2 linked regions of the Stegostoma tigrinum genome follow. The protein of the gene in region 1 purifies or fractionates together with the protein of each later gene. This does not show direct contact. Links are inferred from orthologs where the notes say so. Each region holds a gene or a part of one and is shown on either strand. Other genes may lie near its edges.

Region 1 (7,709 bases):
AAAATGAAACCCAAGGTACCATACGTTGTGCTAGCTACTCTCTCATGATGTCGTCCTGACACCATCAAAGATTGGTGCACATGAACCTTGAAATCCCTGTGTCCCTGTACACTCTAGAGCTGAGCCATTAAGTACATCCAGCCTCTCCCTACCTCTCTGCCAAATGGCATCATCTCACACTTTATTCTTCTATTAATACTTCTGTATTATTCTTATTCTGTATTATTCTTATATTAATACTTCTGTGTTAAATTCTTACTGTCACTTGACTGTCCGTTCTGTAGCACTGAGAAAAAATTAGTTTGATTCAGATGCTGTTATAGTTAGTCTTGTAGCCATCACACATGTCTGTAATGTGAATGTGAGCTAAACTGTGCATGACACCCAAAGGAAAGATTTTTACAAAAGCAAGCATGTGACAAGTGAGCATTCCCTTGAATGCCTGAAAGTTCACTAACCTTGTACCAGAATCTATGCGTTACAAGAATCTGCAAGGCACAGTATGAGCTTGAGGTATGACTTATTTGGAGCTTAGAAAAGGACCAGAGGGGGAAAGTTCAGCACTTGATATGATCACAATACACAGAACTGTGGCTGTGTTCCAGGGAAAAAAAGTATCCAGAGTGGGTGCTGTGTGAGATTTTTACTTGACGGGCCTCATACAACATTAACTGATCCTGTGCGTCAGCCTGAGCTTTGATAACAGCCTGTTTGTCTTGGGAATGTTAGAATTTAGATGTCCTGGTTGGGGTATAGATGAAATGATGAGAAAAGTAAATGGAGCAGAGTAATTAATATTACTCCCACTTACAGCTTGAGACAATGACAAGCTAAGTTTATACAAAGAATGCTGTTCAGCCCAATGATTCTCATCTTTTAGATTACCAACCCTGCTTTCTTCCCAAAATAGTACCTAGTAATTCAGCATTCTGTGGTATTCTCCAAGGTTCCTCACAAAGGCTTCCTTTTTGTGAAGCCTAAACCTGGATTGTCCTGTTAATACTGTACAATGGCTTCACAAGATGTTGCAGTGAGCAAAATATCCCTGGAGGAATGGAAAGGAATGAAGAAAATTGGGGAATGGTGGTGGAGGGAGGAGGCTATAAAGGTTAATGAACGGTATTAAATATGAGCCAGCAGCTTCAGGTGAAGACAAAATTGGAGAGGCAGATACAGTTTTGGTAAAGTGTAATGGTAGGTTTTCCTTTAAGAAGTTGCTGAGGGACTTGACCTTCATTCAATCTTTTCTCATCTGTTAAATGGGATTAATGGCTTGTCTCAAATTGGATTAAGTGTTTGTGTTTTAAATGTTCTCACACTTCCCAGGTCGTGGTATCCCACAAAGAGCATAGGCAAACAACGTGCTCCAAGATCTGTTATTGGAGGTGAGCTACCAGATGATGAGCATCAGAAGCCTGAGACTGGGTGTACCCCTTTTCTTCATCCTATCTTGAAGCAGATGCTCCCTTCCACTTCCATTGACTTCTAACCTTTCCACAATGGTAGTGTTGCTTTGTCCAATACTGTGGCAGCTGTCACACATCTTGGCTGTTACTAAGCTGGCATGAACTGCTGTGTTTAGATGTTCTCTGCCCAAGATGTGGTCAATAAAGATTCTCCTCACTCTGGGTGAGCAAATTAATCACCAGATCAGAAAAATATTTCATCTATTTAGAGTAGTGGTTTTGCAGAGTGTTTTTCAAATAATAAACTTCTGCTTTGTCTACAAAAGGCAAGTCTGGGTTCCTGACAATCGATATTTGTAAATGTTAGCAATCTCTTTCAATGTCTGGTTGCTGGCACTGACTATTGATTCTGCTACATCAGGAGAGTGTTTGTTTTTTTTTAATCTCCTGACTGTGGCAGTTCCCACAGAAAATGCCACTTTACTGCTAAACTGGAAACTCTACAACAGAGGGATGTAGGGGGTGCTAGGAGTGGTGGGGTCAACAAAAGATTTTGTCAGTGCATCAAGTATTGTGAAATTATAAATCGGTTGTTTAAGATTTTGTGATACAAGATGCAAGGAGAAAATCCTACCACCCCTGCAAAGATTCTCAGGAATTTAATTTAAATTTGGGAGGGAGTAGTAGCCTTGATGACTGAATAGTCTTTGCTCATACATACATACTTATGTATATTGAAAAATCCTGGGCATAGAGTCATAGAGCCATACAGTGAGCCAACTTGTCCATGCTGACCAGATATCCTATACAGATCTAGTCCTATTTGCTAGCATTTGGCCCATATCCCTCTGAACCCTTCCTATTCATATACCCATCCAGATGCCTCTTTAAATGTTGTAATTGTACCAGCCTCCATCACTTCCTCTGGCAGCTCATTCCAAACACGCACCACCCCCTGTGTGGAAAAAGATGCCCCTTAGATCCATTTTAAATCTTTCCGCTCTCATCTTAAACCTATGTTCTCTAGTTTTGAACTCCCCAACCCAGGGAAAAGACCTTGAATATTCACCTTATCTGTGCCCCTCATGACTTTATAAACTTCTGTAAGGTCACCCCTCAGCCTCTGATGCTGCAGCCTCTCCTTGTAGCTCAAACCCTCCAACCCCAGCAACATCCTTGTAAATCTTTTTTTATTTGTCAGTGTTTCAGTAAGCAGAACTAAGAGCCCTAACCTCATTTTACAAGCCTTCAACAACCTTGTGCTCCTTGAATTTAACCTCTTCCAAAGCTCTAATTTTGAATCTCTCTAACAATGGCTACCTTCCCTTCAGCTCCAGTAATCTAGACTAGAACCTAAGCTTAAGACTTTCTTCTCAACAGTTCTGCTTTTCTTCTTCTATGATGGTCTGTAAAACCTACCTCTTTGAGCAAGCAATTCTGTCACCTATTCTAATATCTCCCTTTGTAGTCCAGTGTGAAAGGTTGTTTCCTAATCCTCCTGTGCTGAAGTGCCCTTGGATGTTTTGCAATGGTAAGGGCCCTTTGGAATGCAAGTTGCTGGTGTACAGCTTCTGTAGTGCTGTAGTGACAGTAAAAGTGATTCGTTGAGGGACGATGCAACAAAGGTGTGCTCAAATTGGCAAGTCACACATAAAAGAGCAAGAGTTTGAGAAAAGGCTTCCACACTGTGTTGCCAGTTTTATGAGCTGCTCTTGTCTCAAGTGAAATTTTGCGCAGGCTCATTCCGTAAAACTCTATTGCTTTGCTGTTCACAATTTCTCTAAAATGATCACTAGTTGCTCACAACTAGGAAAACAGATGTTTGAGATGTGCAAGGGGCTGGGGAAAAGTGCCCTGTCATAGAATCAAAGAAGGGCATTGCACAGAATGAGGCCAGTGGCAGCTCCTTTAAAGAGCTATCCAATTAGTCCCACACTCCTGATCCTTACCAGAAATCCTGCAATGGCATTCAGTTCCCCTGTTTGGCAGTTACTATTGAATCTGCTTCCACTTTCCTCTTTGGGGGAATGCATCCCTGAGCACAACTCAGTGTCTTTTAAAAAAAAAATCTAATGTGTCATCTCTTGTTTCTATCTGCGTCCCTTTGGTTACTGAACCCTCAACCACGCTTCCATGGTTTTGAATGCCTCAATTAAATTTCCCCTTAATCACCTCTGCTTTGAAGAGAACAATCCCAGCTTCTCAAATCTCCCCAAAATAACTGGAATCTATATCTCTGAGATAGTAGGAACTGCAGATGCTGGAGGATCTGAGAAAACAAAGTGTGGAGCTGGATGAACACAGCAGGCCAAGCAGCATCAGAGGAGCAGGAAAGCTAACGTTTCAGGCCGAGACCCTTCATCACTGGCACCTTTCTGTAAGTTTCCCCTGCACCCCCTCCAGGACGTTGGCATCCTTCCTACAGTGTGGGGCCCAAATCTTCGCTATGTTTGCAACAGCAGCAAAATCATGAGCATCTCTGAGGCTGCTACCTCTCGCATTTGTACAAAGTTAGATACTCAACAGGAAGCAGCAGAGAGTCGGCCAGGATTGGCTTTGCTACTTTCTCCACACGTTCTAGATCTGGGGATAGAGAATAATCTAGATCAATTAGATCTGGCTGTCATTCAGCGGTTTAAATAATTGCTTGCAGGGTACAGTCTCCTCTGACAGAAGAAACTGAAGGGGGGGGGGTGAGAATCCTCACTATTGAATTGAAATGCTCGCAGCATGCCATCATGCTTTGTTCTTTGCAAACCCCTTTTGATTGATGGCTGTTATGAAATTCATTCCCCAGTCAATGCAGCTGAAGGACTGCGTCTCTATGACCCAGGTAGCGAAGGTTTTGGGGTGGGGGGAGGGGTCGTAGGAAAGGTTTGACACCTGTGTGTTAAAAAGGTGAAACAGCAGCTTTCTACCCTGAAGATCCACATGCGGTTGCTCCACTGTGACCGGCGCTGCCGGTGAATTCAGGGGCGGTGCTACGTTTCCAGAATTAAACTTTTCGCTCCGTTTTCCGGAGGAGGGTGGGGGTTGTGGTGGTGGGAGGGAAGAGGGAAAAAGAAACATCTCCCTGGGAGTCAGAGTAGAACCAGCATCAGAGAGAGCGAGCTGCATGGGCTGTGCTCTAAGTCTCGATTGCTGCGGGAAGGAGCTCTGCGGGCCCCCAGATGAAGCTACGGGGAGGAAAGAAGAAAAAATGAGGCTCACGAAGGTATTTCATCCTCTCCTGCGCTCTGTGTGTGTTTTGAGGAGGATCGTTTGTAGAAAAGTGCGTAGACTTTGAGACAAGTCCTATACACATACATACCTATGTATACATTATATATACATATAATATATATTAGATACATCTAAGTCCTGTCAGGCTTGTCGATTGAAACCACTACCGCGGTAAACCAGGCGAGAGCGGGCAAAGGTCAAGTAACGTAATTGTTTTCTGGTAACGCATGGGTTGTTGTTTTATTTACGAGATTTTGTAACCTTGGGAAGCTTAAAAAAAAGGAAAGGGGAATGAAAGCGACAGGAATAAAGAGATGAGGCCAACTTTGTTGCTTTTGGAAGCTTGGAGGGAATATCAAAGGGGTGCAGCCCTCGTCAAAACATTTTTTTTCCTGGGGGTGTGGTTCGGGAGGGGGGTGGTTAGCCGACTCTTTAATACAGTGATGTCGATGTCAACATAATGCAGTCTGTGTCAAGTGTCTGGCAAAACTAACTCAAGGAAACTTTATACGAAGATCAGGAAAAGTTGCACTGCTTTGTGCTGTTTTCTTTTTCCGACGACATATGACTCGAACTCCTCGAGCTTATTGACTCGAAAAGTAACAGTTTGAGTGCAGGTCACTGCAGTCTGCAATCTGATTATGTAGAGAATGCTTTTCTGGCTGCAGTCACTCAGCTCCTCAAATCTTCCTGGAATACACTGCCTCCGATGTCAACGAAAGAGCCACATATTTCATCATAAGTTCAGTGCTCTGTTGTGTTAGGTGGCGGTGGACGCTGCACAACGTGACATCCTTCAAGGATTCCTGCTGTCATATCAGCAGCGCTGCTGCCTCGATGCACTCTGCACTGTCCCAGCTGGAATATGCTGGGCCAGCCACAAATTGAACCCTAAGACAGCACCTCTTTTAGCTGCGTCCCCACGGCTAGATCTGGTTTAAAAAAAATTCTGTGGCTTTCCCCCTTGCTACTGACAAGTCTCCTTTCCCATGGCAGAGAACGCTCAGGTTTCAATGCCATTTGTGAGTCGCGTGTGTGTGCATGTGAGGCCTCCCGCCTGCCTCCTGTGGCCACCACGAGTCACTGCTCTCACACCCTGGGGTCAAGTACAGGCCGGCTGCTGGCGCTCTTTCTCTGTTCATGGGCAGTTGCCTGTAAATCACCAACCAGAAGCAAAATGCTGCACATCTGACATGAAAGCAGGTCAGAGCATGTGTGGAGAGAGAAACAAGTCTGATGAGCTATGAAATGTCAATGTTGATGTAGGGTCATCAATTTGCACTCAAGGCAGGTGTGGCGGGGTACACTGATGATTGCACTAATGTTTGCAACTTCTCAGATACTGAAGCAGTCTATGTCGGAAGACCCGGCCAGTTTGGCTAATAAGTAACAAGAAACATTTACACCACACAAGTGGCAAGCGATCATCTCCAACCAGGGAAAATCATCCCTTAAAATTCCAGGGTACTACCGTTACCATTGCTGAATTGCCTACAATCAACAACCTGGGAGTTACCATTGACCCAAAATTGAATTGGGTCAGCAATACACATACTACAAGATTCGCTCAGAGGCTAGGAATACTGCAGCAACTAATTTACCTTCTGACTCCCAAAGCCTGTCCCACCATTGACAGGGCACAGGCCAGGAGTGTGATGGAATACTCCCCACTTTTGCCTGGATGGATGCAGCTCCAACAACACTGAAGAAGGTCCAGATCAAAGCAGCCCAGTTGATGAGCACCCTGTCCACCATTGTTCAGCGCGATCAGTGTGGACCACGTACAAGATGCACTGCAGCAAATCACCAAATCTCCTTTTACAGCACCTTCCAAACCCACAATTTCTACCATGTGGAAGAACAAGGTCAGCAGATCCATGAGAACACCATCATCTGCAAGCTCCCCTCCAACCAACTCACCATCCTGACTTGGAAATATATCACTGTACCTTCAATGTTATTGGGTCAAAATCCTGAGACTGTCTCCCTAACGGCACTGTGTACCTGGACAACATGGACTGCAGAGATTCAAAAAGGCAACACACCACCACCTCTTCAGGAATAATTTTATTTTAATAGTGGCTGATAAATCCACAGAACTGTCTTGTCAAAACACTGTGAGTTTGGTCCTTTTATAGTTTTATATTCAACACATTAGCTTTATAGGAATGTTGGCTTAAGTTCCTGAGGTCCACACTAATTGCTTCTTTTGGAATTTGTCATTCAAATACCATTCTTATGTGAGTCTAATGATTATCTAGTTCACAGGTCGGCACAACATCGAGGGCCGAAGGGCCTGTTCTGCGCTGTATTGTTCTATGTTCTATTATTGGTAAGCATGTAGAGCCATCACTCCAACTCAGGACAGACAATAAATGTTGGCTCAGCCAGTGACAACCACATCTCATGAAATAATTTTTGAAAAACATTAGCTCTGTTTCTCTCCTCTTTGACACTAGGATTCAGATACAAATCAGCAAACTGACCATAGGAGTCAGAGTGAGCCTTAGCAACTTGCTGAGTTTTTAATGATGAACTTTGCCATGCAGTGATTTTTGAAGTTCTGATTTTTCTCACATGTTCAAATGTTAACTGAGCAATAAAGTATTAGGTTGATACAAATGCAAACGATTGGCTGTTGACCTATATACTGAGAGTCTCCAATGGCTACAGAAGCACACTATATACTGCAAGAAAAATTTACATTCATATCGTGCCTTTCTTGAACACGTCCTGTGAGCTTTATTCCAATATTCTTATGTTTGGTTTGTGATGTGATTTTTGTATTAATGTCAAAAAGAAAGTCTTGCATTGATATAGTGTCTTGAACATACCAAAGTGTTTTATGGTTAATGGATTACTTTAAAAGTATGTTCACTGTTGTGACGTAAGAAACATGGCAGCCTGTCTACACACAGCAAGCTCCTACAGACAGCAATGAGCCAGCTTCCTTTGCAACATTGATTTGAGGGATAAGGATTGGCCAGGTCACCAGGGAAAAGGATCACTCACCTGCTCTTCTTCAACATAATGCCACAGATTATTTTATGTACATGCTAGTGATGTAGAAGAGGGAGCCTT
Region 2 (7,849 bases), on another chromosome or scaffold:
CCTTAAAATCTGGAACCATTTTCTTGAGGAAGGCACTGCTGCAAACAAATCATCTTTTGACTGCTAAAATGTTCAAGGGGCAAAAAGAAGTCACTGCGATGGTCTTCGGAAGTGAAGGATGTACCGTTAAAAATAGGAATTTATTTCACATTATGCAAATTACAAAATTTAAAAAATTGTCCTTATTTCCAAGCAGCAAACAAAACATAAGTTTTGATGTTTCTTTTAATTTTATAACTTGCTTGAAGGAGTAAACATTTGTTTAAAGAAAGCATGAATATTTAAAATGAAATCAAGATAAATACAGGAAATTATCTCTCATTAATTGCAGCTGGTGAGGAATTGCCAAAAGCAGCAAGAAATCCTGATAAAGGTGAATGGTCTCCCCTATGTGATGAATGCAGAATGTACTCCTCACTTTCCAGTGGGGGAGCGAGGGAAACAATTCTCCAGCAACTATTCACAACTCCTTTCGGTAATGGCAACTAATTTTCTTACAAAATATTACATCCAATGTAATAGCACATAATCAACGACACTAAATAATTGGTTAGTTGGGTTTTATAATACATTAGGATAATCAATGGATAACAAAGTGAGGATGGTAAGTGGGATGAGGGGATAAGGAACAAATCCACACTACTGGCATTAAAGTTCAACATATTAAAATTAAAAATTAAATAATCCATGAGATTCAGTTCCATTTATTCAGGTTAAGCCCAGTTTGAGCTTCTATATTTCACTCTGCTGTGTTGCTGTTCCTGCTTTTATTCACTGGAATTATAAAAGAGTAATGCCTTGGAAAATTCATGTCACCATTCCACCAGAATCTGTTATATAATTAGCTTCTACCCGACATTGTTTAAAACACCCAGAACAATCTCCAGGTCCCCCTCCTCCCATAACATCCACATTTCTATTCCTCCCACAGCAAGATACCAGAGAGCAGGAGAGAAATTCAGCACTCTACAATTCCTGCCTTGAATCTACTTTGTTCCTGTAGTCAGGCTTAGAGAACACTAAGGAGTGCATTTCTACACTGCACCAGCACAAGAGAAGTAAATGCCATTTCCAAAAAAAAATATCAAGATCACCATGCACCGCAGGAACCTTTGTAACCATCGAAAATGAAAAGGGTGCAATAATGTCGTGCAGCCATTTGCCAGACAGATTTTACATTCAGAAAAATACTGCACACGTTTGTACAGAACTACCAGAATCTACCTAAATGATGCACTATGTTCCAGAAAATGTAACAGAAAGCCTCAATGTAAGCTCATTTTAAACCAACTAAAAAGTGACGGTACTATCATACAGAAGATAAAAGCAATTTATCACAACTTTCAGGTATTAAACGAAATGAATACAGATCAAGTATTTAAAAGTCATTAATACAATTTATTAATACAGTGATGAAGTGCCACCATCTGGTGTATGCTATAATGCTGTCTGAGGTTTAACCCTTCAGTCACAAAATGTCCGTTATTTGAAACATCTCAAATTAAACATGAAAGCAACAAGAAATTGTGGTATAATGTCTCTGCACACTAACAGCATGAAACAAAATCCAAAACAGATCTTTTCAATACATCATCTTTTCACACCACCTGCCTATCACTAATGGGCAATGCAAGGGCAAAAAGAAATTAGGATATCCTTACCTAAAATTTTCTACAAGGGTACAGAAACTACACAGCTGCAAAGACGAAACAGATCAGAAAGCACACACATAGCCCAGAACACTAAAAGGCTCCCATTTGAAAAATACAGCAATCTGGGACATCTCATTAAAAAAGGGTGGGCAGAATGACCAAATCCGTATTCTCTCAATAAAAACTGATAGAACTGTGGATGCTGTGAATCAGGAAGAAAAACAAAAATTGCTAGAACAGCTTAGCAGGTCTGGCAGTATGTGAAGCCAAAAAAAAAAGTCACATTTCAGATCCTGTGACCCCTCCTCCAGTACTAAGGGCAGGCCACCGGATTTGAAACGTTAACTGTTTTTTTCTTCACAGATGCTGCTAGATCTACTGAGCTTTTTCAGCAACTTTGTTCTTGCCCATATTCTCTCATTTTTCTTGCTCCTACCAGTTATCCCAATGCAACATATCCAGAGTTTCTAAGCATAAGCACAATAAACACTTGCAAACTGCATATCAGACAACACAAAATATACAAGAACTTTCACGTTGTTTTGATAGCCACAGTTCTGCTGGATGACAATATTTACTTGTAGAATTCCAATCTAACAGGTGTGTATGGTAAACAAGAAGGCAGCTGTAGCTGAAATTTCAATACAATAACTACTTTGATGTATACAATATTGTCACGCAGATACAATGACTTCTGAGTTTTTCACAGTTGGTTTCTTCGTTTACAAATTGAAAGAGGGACCAAAAGGCTCTTCCGAAAATACATGAGGGCAAAATGCAAGTAGCAGTCCTGCACATTCCTAACTAAAAAACTACACAAGCTCATAATCACAGACACATTGCAGATTTCTACTCAGTGATTATGTCACAAAACTACCAATTGTCACAAAAATCTGGTTCACTAGTAGCCTTCGGGAACAAAATCGTTTAGCACGTGCCTACAGGCCCACAACAATAAGGTTCACTCTTAACCGCTCTCAATGCTCAATTCAAGAGTTATTCAGGGTACAAAAATGCTGCCATTTCTATCTCTGAAAACTAGGACGACGACACAAGGATTTTTTAATCTGATCTCAGTCTCAACTCCACTTTCCATTCTGTCCTTATAAGCATTCTCTCCACAGTTCAAAAGAACGTCAGTATTGTTATGGAAAATAACAAAATTTAGCAGAATATTGATCTGGTTAATAGCTCTAGAACCCTGCAAAAATTCATTTTTTGGGTTTGGCCTTTCGCATTTCAAAGGCCATATTTGATTGAAAAACAATTTCATGTCTTGAAAATCTTGACTTTAAAAAAGTCCTCCTAAAGCCAACACACCCTTACACTCTTCAAGAACTCTGTCATTACATAGCTCCAACCTTTCTGGCATCTCTTATATGCTTTACCTGACTATCTGGCCACGCGCAGGCATGTATTCAGCCGTCTATTCTCTCCCAAGACTCTTTCCTCCTTTAAGACTCTCCTTAAAAAAAACAAGCAACTTTTAGTTACCCTCAATACTTTTACCACAAAGCAGTGAGAATAAGTTAGCTTAAAAAGGTCACAATAAACAGCTGTTGGTGATCTCTTCCACTGTAACACCAGCTCATTCTTTTCACTCATTGGTTCTTGCAATGACACTAAGCCACTATAATGATGGTTGCCAGGAGACCATGGCAAGTAATAAATTAAAAACTCCAAAAAAAAAGACTAAAATAGAAATAGCTGTATATTTATTTAAACTCAAACACCAGCGTTACGCTTAAAACCAGTTGTTAGGTTCACACCATCTAGATGTTATGCGCTACAGTTTCAGTTGTACGCTATTCAACGTAAAATAACTAGGCCCTATCTATGCCTTGTTTCATCCTCTAAATAGACCTTAGGTTCTGTTTCATCCTCTGCCATGTTTAATGTGGTGCCACTTCATTGAGCGAGCTGCAAAACAGTCAAAAATGCACCAGGCACCAGTGTGGTAAAATAGGAAGTCCTCACGATAATCACAATTAAGAGATCTACAAGTTATTCATGAATCATAGAACTCCAGGACTAAAGAATTCACGTGAAAAATACATACTGCTGATTATATAACACCATACCAGGAGTTGGCAGAAGTATAGTAGAGTTTACAATTGCAACAGATTAATGTCACTGACTTCAAATTGAAGATCTGTCTGCAATAAGAGCTTGTACAGTTTTCAATAAGTACTTGCTCATGAATAGAATCTCAATGACAGTCACAATCCAAGTAAATAACTACATCCATGTACTTTGCATTAGCAGGCAGTAACAAATCAGTGTGTCTTTAACTGTACACAGAGATGTGGTTAAATTATTTAGTGTTAAACCCAAGCATATGCAATAGCTTTTCTTAAATCAAACCCACAAAAGAGGGAACAAATACTGTCAAAGGATCTAAATTGAGAAATAATGCACAGGCAAAGGAGTACCGTAACAGTAAAAAAAACCTTTCATCTTTTCAAAGAAAAAAAATTCTTGTTTGTAGAGGTTCAGTGGAAAACTACTCTAAACCTTCCCAAGATAATCACTGGACATTGGACAAATACCGTACTATCAAATAAATTAACTGGCCAGCCGCATCATTTACGGCTCTGGGAAATAGTGCCACAAGGCATTGTGCTAGATCTAATTAGTCACTAAAATTCACAGTGTGAAGCACGTCGGGTGTTTGAATGTAAGAAGGCACTCCATAATTACAAATAATGATTTTTCCGAGTTACAGAATGTCCTGCATGCATCTTGAAATAGCTTTGTTATTCTACATAGGAAATTTAACTTGCAAAGTGGTGCCAATTTAAACTTTGCCTTTACTGCCTGGATACTCAGTCAGGAGTCATCTTTTAAGAATGAAGTAGCCCTAGGTCAAGACTGGAGCTTGATCTAAACTTACTGGAACCAATCCTAGTGTAATTTACATTGATGTAGCAGCACAGTGTGTGCTTGGAGTTTCTCAAAGTGCTTCACACCTAATTAATTACCAAGTAGAAGAGAATACTGGCCCAAATACAGTCCCCATCATCACAGTAGGTACCTAAATGGTGGGCCTCCCTCACAAACCTAAAAAAACAAGCAAGGACCATCTTTTTAAGTAGCTAAAGGAACCATAGCAGTGTCTTTAGGAAATGGACAGCACGCAATATGACATTTGTCTTGTAGCTCTAAAAGAAAATATTTTGTTTAAAAACTCAGCTCATGTTCCTAGAAAAGACAGCCCCACTAGATGTGAATATTCCAGAAAGCTAATTGGTGAAGACCAGAACTGGGTCCAATCTTTCTATATTTGTAAAAGCACTGACTTACAGTTGCATTTTGCAAACAGATACCACTACTTCAGTCCACATCCAGTTAAAACGGCACAAATCAATTCTCAATTCAGGCACAACACATCCACAATTAAAAGTAATCAACAATGCTTCCAAAGCAAAACATCCTAAATCAAGATAATAGACTACATGAACTTTCCCCATGTATACTCAAGTAAGGTGTAGACACCAAGCAAAATCTAGGATATGGTCACCCAGCCCAAGCTTTTATCCAGAAAGATCTGAATATATTGAAACATGATCGGGTTGCACAAATACCTGTAAAGTTTAGATACTTTAAACATTAACTATAACGTGTTTTGCCTCATTTTAAAAGAAGTGTCTTTCTTGCATACATTAAATCCAGTTGGTTTGACAAATTAAAGGCCAATTACATGGGTTTCAAAATAATCCTACAGCAAACAATAATTCCCAGCAGTCTTTATAAGAGTCACAGTCAGGCAGAAGCAGGCCAGTCCACTGAGCCCACACCAACCATTAAAAAGCATCCCACCTAGCCCCACCCTTTGCTCTATCATCCTGCAATTCCTCATGGCTAATCTAGCTAGTCTGCACATAGGGAAACACGACGGGTCAACGTGTGGAGCTGGAGAAACACAGTAGGTCAAGCAGCATAGGAAAGTGGACGTTTGGAGTTGGGAGGCTTCTTCAGAACTGTTCTGAAGTTCAATTCAGTTCGGAAGAAGGGTCTTGACCCAAAATATCAACTTTCCTACTCCCCTGATGCTGCCTGACCTGCTCTGCTCCTCCAGCTCCACAATGTATCGATTCTGATTCCAATAACTGCAGTTCTTGCTATCTCCTCAACACTATGGGGCAATTTAACATGGCCAATTCACCTCACCTGAACATCTTCGGACTGTTGGAGGAAACTAGAGCACCTGGGAGGAAACCTATGCAGACACAGAGAACATACAAACTCTGCACAGACAGTCACCCGAGGGTGGAACGGAACCCAGGTTCCTGGTGCCTTGGGGCAGCAGTGCCATTTATTGTCTAACCCATCACAATTTTCATTACGTACAAGATAAGGCACTTTTACATATCTAGTGGCTGGTCACAATGGCCTGACCCAATATCAACTGGTTGGATTGCGTTTCAGTACAAAATGTAACATGAATTCTACTATTTTGTAAAATAGTTCTATTCACCAGTCAATTTGGAACAAAAGTTGGCCAGTTACAAGTTTAAGCTCGAGTAATTGTTTCCAAATCTCATGGTAGCAAGCTCACGTGGTGCCTCTGTGTTAAATACACAAAGAAATGACCAAAGCTCTTCAGCAGTCGAATACAGCAAGAGTTCTAACAGGGCCTCAATTCCTCCATATTGTTCAAGGACCCAGCCTGAGGTATACTGATGTGGAGTACATAAGAACTTTTGGATTCACACCAATATAAAAAAACATAAGCAGCTGCTGCTATATCTCCTCCCAAGGAACTCAAGGGGAGGAGTCACTAAACTAGAAACGCACAGCATTAGCGATTCTGTACTTCCAAAGAGGACCAAGATTTACAGTTTTCGTACCCGGCACATTATCTCAGTCTGAATAAACAAAATTATTCCAGACTAGCCTGTCTTTTCCCCCCAAAGCTCTATCCAGCAGAGTTTTGCAACTCTCACCCCTGAATGAAAGATTGGAACTAATACATTTGATTTGCAAACAGTAGCAATTATTTTAGGCTATTACAGCATAATTATTAAAATGTGTAACTTTCACTGTTAGGGAAAAACAGCTAATGCTGTCACATATTAGGCAGTTATTTTTTAAAAAACTGCCTTTCATAAATTGGTTGAGACAAAGATGCTAAATCAGGCCATAGTATTGGTATTATTCGTGCTTCAATTAAGAAATTTCTCTCTATATATACAGCACCAGCCTTCAAAGTAAAGGAACACAGCAGAGAGCTAATTAGCAGAACAGCAACAATACGTCAAAGCAAAAATGATAGCTGCTGATCGCATCACAGCTTGCTCCGGTGCACAATTTTACCATAGGCAGTTAGGCTGGCCTATTCTGCAGACTGATGCAGTACTGACGATATGCACCAACTCCTTCAAACAGATCAGCAGCATTCTGCAGTCACAGCAACAAAACATAGGAGGGCTAATGCTTTGCATTCATATCTCTGCTCAAAAAAAAGACTGACTTTCTGTGCTAATAATCTTAAACATCTCTCTGCAGGTCATTTTCATTTCTTATTCACCAAGGTTAATAAAAATTACTAGGGTGCAATCTCATTTCTCTAACAAGGTTAATGAAATTTTCTGTCCCCCTCACCCCAAATAACAAAATGGTAACTACAAAGACATCCATGATCAACACGTTATAATCGCACAGCACACTGAAGTTAAATTCCAAAAGAACCCACCACTTATGTCTCATTTGAGACACATTGAAGTGCTCAGGCCAGATAATTTCAGCACTCACATGGCTATACAAACAAATAAAATTGACAGTAAATACCTTGTAAGTTATGCACTGTGAAAGACATGGTAAAATACTGAATATGGAAAAGGGAAAGGGAAGCACACCTGACAGATTCTCAGTACCAATACTTGCCTGCAGATCCTTGTTGCTGGTTGCCTGTGAGAGCAGAGGCAAGTATGGCACTTCTGCTGTTACAAAGAAAGATCAGGAATGGACCGAACAACAAAGTCTCCAACGAGTCTCTGGGATTTTGCATGCACTATTTCAATTGTCTTTTCAATATGTTCAGTCCAGTGTGATTCTTCATGGTGTCTGCACTGAAGAAACTAAGTGCAATGCAGATTTTGCACATAGATCACTGGACAGATTCTGATGCAGCCATCAAGCACTCTGTCTTCCAGTTAAATTCCTAGACCAATAATAATCCAGTTCCCCCTCCACAA

The links. The genes of interacting proteins can lie anywhere in the genome.
Region 2: the proteins of tensin-2-like (region 1) and csk purify together in Homo sapiens (affinity purification with mass spectrometry; 6 studies listed by BioGRID and IntAct, with this or other methods). This does not show direct contact. The link is inferred for Stegostoma tigrinum from reciprocal best matches to the Homo sapiens genes TNS2 and CSK.

What each region holds. Positions count from the first base shown.
Region 1 is NC_081404.1:11,586,090-11,593,798, forward strand, and holds the start of tensin-2-like, read left to right. Parts: upstream 1-4,496; 5' UTR 4,497-4,521; coding exon 4,522-4,620; intron 4,621-7,709. UniProt on the Homo sapiens protein: Tyrosine-protein phosphatase which regulates cell motility, proliferation and muscle-response to insulin. Phosphatase activity is mediated by binding to phosphatidylinositol-3,4,5-triphosphate (PtdIns(3,4,5)P3) via the SH2 domain.
Region 2 is NC_081389.1:17,788,003-17,795,851, reverse strand, and holds the start of csk (tyrosine-protein kinase CSK), read right to left. Parts: upstream 3,082-7,849; 5' UTR 3,067-3,081; coding exon 3,041-3,066; intron 1-3,040. UniProt on the Homo sapiens protein: Non-receptor tyrosine-protein kinase that plays an important role in the regulation of cell growth, differentiation, migration and immune response.